2 linked regions of the Coturnix japonica genome follow. The protein of the gene in region 1 purifies or fractionates together with the protein of each later gene. This does not show direct contact. Links are inferred from orthologs where the notes say so. Each region holds a gene or a part of one and is shown on either strand. Other genes may lie near its edges.

The links.
Region 2: the proteins of UBQLN4 (region 1) and GJA1 purify together in Homo sapiens (affinity purification with western blotting; 3 studies listed by BioGRID). This does not show direct contact. The link is inferred for Coturnix japonica from reciprocal best matches to the Homo sapiens genes UBQLN4 and GJA1.

The regions. Positions count from the first base shown.
Region 1 is NC_029540.1:70,911-74,536, forward strand, and holds the end of UBQLN4 (ubiquilin-4), read right to left. Parts: intron 3,220-3,626; coding exon 3,104-3,219; intron 2,526-3,103; coding exon 2,348-2,525; intron 1,861-2,347; coding exon 1,708-1,860; 3' UTR 1,057-1,707; coding exon of another isoform or gene 962-1,056; 3' UTR 739-961; downstream 1-738. Other genes in the region: cytochrome b5 domain-containing protein 1, read left to right, coding at 962-1,056. UniProt on the Homo sapiens protein: Regulator of protein degradation that mediates the proteasomal targeting of misfolded, mislocalized or accumulated proteins.
Region 2 is NC_029518.1:56,148,415-56,152,093, reverse strand, and holds part of GJA1 (gap junction alpha-1 protein), read left to right. Parts: intron 1-3,279; 5' UTR 3,280-3,295; coding exon 3,296-3,679. UniProt on the Homo sapiens protein: Gap junction protein that acts as a regulator of bladder capacity. A gap junction consists of a cluster of closely packed pairs of transmembrane channels, the connexons, through which materials of low MW diffuse from one cell to a neighboring cell.

The sequences.
Region 1 (3,626 bases):
GTGACATCTTCCCCACCCTGAGCTGTGGATGGTGCTGTGGGGGCATTGCCCCCATTCTGGACCCCAGTTGTGTCATTGCAGCACAATAAAACTGGTGTTTTTTAACTTATTTGTTGTTGAACAGTCGTTCTGTGCGCGGCCATGGAGGGGCAATCCAGGATCCCGTGGTTCAGGGACACCCCCTAACAAGAAGTCTCTGGAGGTCCCTTCCAACCCCTACAGCTCTGTGATAGGTTGTGATTTCAGCACCTATATATATATATATACAGTATTCATCATTCGCATTCACCTACTGAGCACATCAGTGAGAGCTCATCAGAGGGTGAGTGATAAAGAGCATGGGATGAAGGCACTGAGTGCTGGTGGGGTTGGCGCTGTGCTGCAAGGACACGGGGTGGTGGAACAAATAGAAGCCTGGAGCCCCATGGAGCACAGCCTGGGACAGGGCCCACACTGCCCCATCTGCAGCCCCAGCTCCGCACTGCAGCGCTGCTCCCCCCACCCCACGCACTTTGTTCTGCAGCTGCACGGAGCTCTGCTGCCATCTCTTCCCTCTCTCTGCCCCATCCCCCCCTACTGAAAAAAGGGAAGAATTACGTTAAATGTGGGATTGCAGCGCTGTGGCAAAGGGAAGGAGGAATGGAGAGGTGGGGGGCTGCACCAACAGCCGCCCTCTGCCCCATTCATCAGGAGTTAATGAGGAGAATTCAATCAAGGACGACACAGGAGCCGCAGGGAGACGGATGGTTGTGCGCATTTATTATTGTTGTTTTCTCGTTGATAAACCTGGTCTGCAGATCTCGAGGCCCCGGAGGCCCTGGGGAAAGCGCGGCCCTGTTGGTCCTCCACGGAACGCAGCATCAAATGCACCACAACGGGGGAGCAATGAGGGCGGCTCCGGGCTGGGCAGCACAAACACTTTGCAGTGGAGAGATCGGATCTTTCCCTCCTGTTTTTACAGATATTGAACCCGCAGAGCAGAAAAGCACCGAACACAAAGAGCTGCTGCCCCAGCGCTGCCTTCAGCTCAGCTTCCACAACAAACCCCAGCCCTGAAGGCCGCCGGGGCTCCGTGACGCCATCCCAACTGCGCCACGAGACCCCAGGTCAGGCGTGGTTTGCATGCAGCCCATCCCCGCGGTGGGAGACGGCAGCCCCCCACGTGCCGAGGGCCCCATTCGTCCCATGGAATCATTAAGACAAACGACATGAGAGATTTCCAGGTCGCTGCGGTTTTTTCTTTCGCTCTATTATCCCCAAGAAGATGCCGGGAGAAAGAACCGGAAACCAAAGTTGGCTCAAGTTTTAAATATTTGCCTGAAAGGAGGGCGAAGGGAGGGAATCATGTACAGTTAAAATCAAGCTACTCAAAACACAATCATTCAGGTAAATAACTAGGAGTATCGCCTCTACCATCTAGAGAGAGAGAGAGAATGTCTGGAACAGAGGGAATATTGAGGAAAAAATACACATCTGAAGTCTCTGTGGCCACGATGAGAACTGGAATCCACATACAAGCCAGTTAAAGAGCATTTCAACATGAAATCTTAACTTAGTAGGAAGGTCGGGGGTTAAGCTGTATCTTTTTTTTGTTTTAAATACATGACAGCTGTCAGATATGAAAATGACGGCGGGCTTTCCTGAAAGATCCCCCTGCGCATGTGAATGGATGCTGTGCTGACATCTGCGGGGCGGCGTGACGGGAGCTTAGGAAGGCTGGGAGCCCAGCAGTCTCTCAATAGCTGCGTTGATGTCCCCGCCCGTGGCAATAAGAGCCTGCAGGTTGGCCTCGCGGTTAATGAAGCCCATGGCATTCAGCTGCTCCAGCTGCTGTTGGAATCGCACTTCAGGACTCTGCGCCTGCAGAGGGAAAGGACAAAGACCTCAGCGGCACAGAGCGCAGCTGGGAGAACAGCAGAGTGGGGACTGACATTGTTGAGCCAAGGGAAGCTGCAGAACCACGGCCAGAAACAACCCCAAGATCACCCCAGAGAGGTGCCCAAGAAGCCCAGCAGCAGGTAAATGGGCATCCAGGACTTGGGGGGAGCTCATACATTGGAGGGAGAGCGATCTTTGTGTGTGCATCCGGTGACGGGACAAGGAACGGCTTTCAAATAAAGAAGGGGAGATTTCAATTGGATTTTAGGTGGAAATTCTTTACTCAGAGGGCACTGGGGCTGTGGTAGCGCTGCCCAGAGCTGTGGGTGCCCCATCCCTGGAGGTGCCTGAGGCTGCAGATGGGCCCTGGGCTGGGGTGTGCAGTAAGCCCACAGCATGAGCATTGGAAGTGAATGATCTTTGAGGTCCCTTCCAACTTAAGGCATTCTATGACTCCATGATTACATACTTGAGAGCTTCCTCCAGCCAGCAGCTGGATCATCTGCTGCATGAGCTGCTGTTGGGGGTTACCACCCCCAGCTGGAGAGGCACTGGCCGGCGTCGAAGCGGAGGGAACGGGGTTCTCCGGGATTGTGCTTCCTCCTGTGGAGGACGGGGGCATTCGAGGCATGCCAAAGGAGCCGAGGCTGCAGAGGAAGGCAGGGTTTGCTCAGAGCTGAGCCGGCACTTCTGGCTGTCCCCTGCCTGTCTTGCGAGAGCGAGGTGGCACGGGGAGCCAGCAGGCTCGGCCAGGCTGGCCATGCTCCATGACTGGCTGCGCTCACATCCCACCCACAGCAAAACTGGGAGCAAACCATCCTAATACAGGCACAGCCTGAGAAATCTGCAGAGGCTGAACGTGACCCACACTGACAGAGAGCAGAGGGTCGAGAGCACCCAGCAGCACAATGTGCCCTAACTTACCCACCCAGCCCCACGGTGCACATCCCTAGAGGTAAAACTGAGTTCACCCGACACTTAAACACCTCAAACAAAAGGCAGAGGAGGGACTAAATGGTTCCCAAATCTTTATCCCCAAAGGAAAAGGTCAAGGACTTCCCGCACGAAGTGCAAACAAACAAAGTGCCCATCAGCTGGAGCCCACAGAGCCCTGCAGACACACACAGCATCCCCCGAGCAGATCTGGTTGGTGAGTGGGCAGCCAGGCTGCCATCAAGCACGCCAGCTCTGCCCGCAGCATCCTGCCCTGAGGAACGCTCCTTACCTTGGCACGAGTCCTGGGGCCTCCGTTTGCAGCGTCTGGAGTCCCTGCTGGATCTGGAGGAGCGCCTGCATGGCGCGGGGGTTGGTGAGAATGGACAGGGAGTCTGGGTTCTGCATCTGGGAAGGAAGGAGAGACACAGCGGTGGTGAACAGTGAGAGCTCGTGCAGGCAGTGCTCCACCAGCTGGCAGTCTGAACAGCCACAGCCAACCCACGGGTCTGGGCTCTCCTTCCTGTCCCTGCACCACCGGGCTCATCTGCGCAGACACACTCCAAGAGATCAGATTTCCTACATAAAGTAGGAGAATCAGATTAGGACGGGGCACACGTGCCTCCAGAATTAAAGCCGTTTTCATCCACTTGAGTGAAGCAGCTGCTCAAGCACAATTAGCCAGTCTAATTTTTGTAAACTCATTACTGGGAGAGAGCGTCCACACAGGGGTTTCATGCAGCTGAACTCATCATCATTTCAAGTCAGCCTTGAGGTAATTTACATTACCTCATTTACACTGCCTTGTCCAAACA
Region 2 (3,679 bases), on another chromosome or scaffold:
TTACAATTCAAATATCTTCTATATGTGATCATCCAAACCCATGTAGATTAATGCTGTAATATCTCCTGCTGTTCTGTGTTGTTTTTTCCTGTCTTTACCCGCACACAGTAGAATCTGGAAGAAATCCATCTTTTTAAAAAGTTTAATAGGCCTGCATTAGTCGTCGTCTTCCCACCCCCCTCTCCCCCCCCAGAAAAACCTTTTTGAAGTAATAATCAGTAAGAACTCATGAAATGTGTGTATGCATCATCAGCCATATCCTAAAATTCCTGAACTACTGAAATTGCACCAGCCCCTCAGATCAAGCTGTGCTATTCAGCGGAACTGTTGAAAGAAGTTTGATTGTTAAAAGAAGTCTAGATGCTGAATTTTTTTACTGTAATCTTCCATCAATTTCATACTATTTACTAGCTAAAACACTTAAATACTTGTTAGATGCAAAAGCACTTCTTATACCTAGTAAACATACATTGGAATCAGTTAATTAAAATGGTCTTTCAGTGTCTGGAAAGTGAACAAGTTATATACTATGAATGAGTTTTCCCTGAAACAAAACAAAGTACTGTGTTTCATAAAGCAAAACAATCCACCTAAGTGAAGGAATAATATATTTGTGCCACCACAAGATTATCTGATTAAAAGCACAATGTTTTGAATTGACGTGGGGTTTTTATCACTGGCAAAGGCTAGCGTGTAACCGATCTCTTTTTAAAAAGTTCCTTTTCAAAACTATGTATGAGTAATTCAAGCGTGGAATGTTTCCTCCTGGAGTTAATATTGCCAGAGGATATAAATGAAACTTAGCAATTTTGCATGCTGAGGTAAATTAAAAAATAAGTAGTAAATTCTCAAAATATTGCAGGTGTGGGATTAGGTAGGTCAAGACTGAAGTAAATCATGTTATAGTAATGGAGCAGAGTGGAGTGTAATTAAAAAACAAACAACATATAACTGCCTAGAAATAACATGTCCCCTGTTTTCTTAATCAAACTTTCAATCTGAAATAACATTTAGACAGTAAAAAAGTACACTCGAGTCTGAGGAAACTCTGTTAATGCGGTAGTTTCAAATCATCTGAAAGCTGACTAATTAAATCAAGAAGCTGTTACTTGAAAAAGGCTCCTTCTGTCCACTTCCACTTCTAGGACATGGAGAAACAAACTTCGCATGCCGTATAGTTACAGACTGTTCTCTGTTTTAACAGTCTCAGCATGAGGAGGGACGCAGTTACATTGCATTCCTGCCTTTGCACAGCCCTCTGTGCTCCTGTGCTGACGCCTTTCCTACCAATCTGAACCAATAAAGACAAACTAATCTTTTCCTGGGAATGACTAAACCTGGAAATGATCTGTCCTGAAAGGATACCTTTGGAGAGAAACATGCTGTGTGTCCCTCCCAGCAAGGCCTCTAGATTTAAAAGTTTGAAGAGGGCCTGATCCTTTGATGGGACTTCATTCATGTGAAGAACTAATTATGTGAGGAAGGGTCTGTACACCCCAGTAGGTAAACTTCCTCTGCACTTCAGAGCGATCTGACCAGGAGGGCTGTGGAACCGGCTCTGGGATATTTTGCAGGCGTTCAAAAATAATTGGCATCTCCAAGCCGTCGGATCAAGTACTTTAAACACTTGGCTCTCGTTATTCTCTGACTCTTTCTGATAGCAAAAGCGACAGTTTTTTTTTAATTTGGCATAGCATATATTGTTATGATTGAGTATGCCAAATTTATAATCTTCTGTTTCCAGTGAGTCACCACTCTGTGAAAGAAAATCTCCTTGGTACTAAAATTTCCTATTTTATGAATTATCCAGAGGTGTTTTTGTTGTTGTTGTTTGTTTGTTTTCTATAAATAACCTTCACTGGGGAATATATCCATGATATCCATGACGGGAAGGAAACCATTTGAACAGTATCAGAACTATTAATACAGGAAAGAGATTACTCAGCGTGCATGGTACAAATGTGTCTGCCCAGCAGCATCTACTTCAAAAGGGAAGATTTGCTTATTTTTTCTTGTAGGTGTGCAATTTCACATGCTCACTTATGCGGGACAAGTTAAAATGTAAGATTTTTAGCAGAAGTGGTTACCATTCTCCACTTGATAAAAGCTATGTGTGAAGCTTTGTTTTTCCTAGGAATATAGAACATCGAGTAGAATATTTCACTTGTCCCCTCATGTATTTCCAGATATCCCTGAGAAGTGGTGCATTTCCCAGAAACATGCACTTTAAACTCAAGTTGAGAGAGACAATTTAAACTTGCAGTGCTCTACACTTGTAGTGCAAATCACCCACTAGGAGCTGCCTTAGAAAGTGCTCTCTTGTCTTTCCTTCCTGGGTAAATCCTTTTTCTTTTTAAAGTGAAGTGAAGGAGTTTAAATCTAAAAAGATGCAAATGAGGAGTTGAAACTACAGTAAATCAAACAAGCCACAAATAGCCAGGAAACCAGTTCTTCCAATATGGTAACATAAGCTTAGCTGCACCTGATGCTTTTAGTATTTTTGGTTCCTGTATAAAAATGTAGGTGAAGAGTACCAATATTGATCTTTGTGCTGCAAATACTTAGTTATAAACTTAATTTAGAAAACAAGATTTTTTTCTGAAGCGAAGTACAGTCAGAACTTTGCATCATAGCAACTATACTCAGATAAATCATGCACAGTGTACTGATGTGTGTGACAGCTCAGTTTAATATTGCCATGGGAAATGTAGTGTGCATTTGTAATGATGAAATGTTAGGTCTCTGACCCTAACACTAATTCAGTACATTTTTAATGTAAATTTTATTATGTTTTGCTTTCCTGCTCTTTTTAAGAATGAATATATAGATAACTGTGGATGAGACGCACTGAAAAGAGAGGAATCTTTCATTTATTCTTAGCATATTCAGACAGTGCTACCAAACGCTTCCACATCCTGCTTCAGCGGTGTGTCACAGCCGTTTTCTGCCTGCAGCAGATGTCAGTCATTGAACTGAAGCTGCCATCAGGGAAGCTGGTTTTAGCCAACCACAGTGGCAAACAGGGGTTTCCATGGATTTCTTGAAAATATGACAGAAATTAGGAACTTCTGTCTTTCACTGTGTTCGGAGACATCATAAAATGTTCATCTTTACTGTACAGCCCACTCAACCTGCAGACTAAGTGAAGTGAATGAATTAAAACAAAGCTGACACCACTATACTGTTAGCATTGATCTGTGTGTGATTCAGCTCATCAGAAGTATTAAACATCTGTCTTAACCATCAGTTGTTTTTCTTTTTCTTTGTTTCTTTCTGTAGCCACTATCCCGTGAAGATGGGTGATTGGAGTGCCCTGGGAAAACTTCTTGACAAGGTTCAAGCGTATTCTACTGCAGGAGGAAAAGTATGGCTGTCTGTCCTCTTTATTTTCCGAATCCTTCTATTGGGGACAGCAGTCGAGTCTGCTTGGGGAGATGAACAGTCTGCTTTTCGGTGCAATACTCAACAGCCTGGTTGTGAGAATGTCTGCTATGATAAGTCCTTCCCCATCTCCCACGTGCGTTTCTGGGTTCTGCAGATCATATTTGTTTCTGTACCAACCCTCTTGTACCTGGCGCACGTGTTCTACGTGATGAGGAAAGAAGAGAAGCTGAACAAAAGAGAAGAAGAGCTCAAGGTGGTCCAAAATGATGGTGTGAATGTGGATATGCACCTTAAA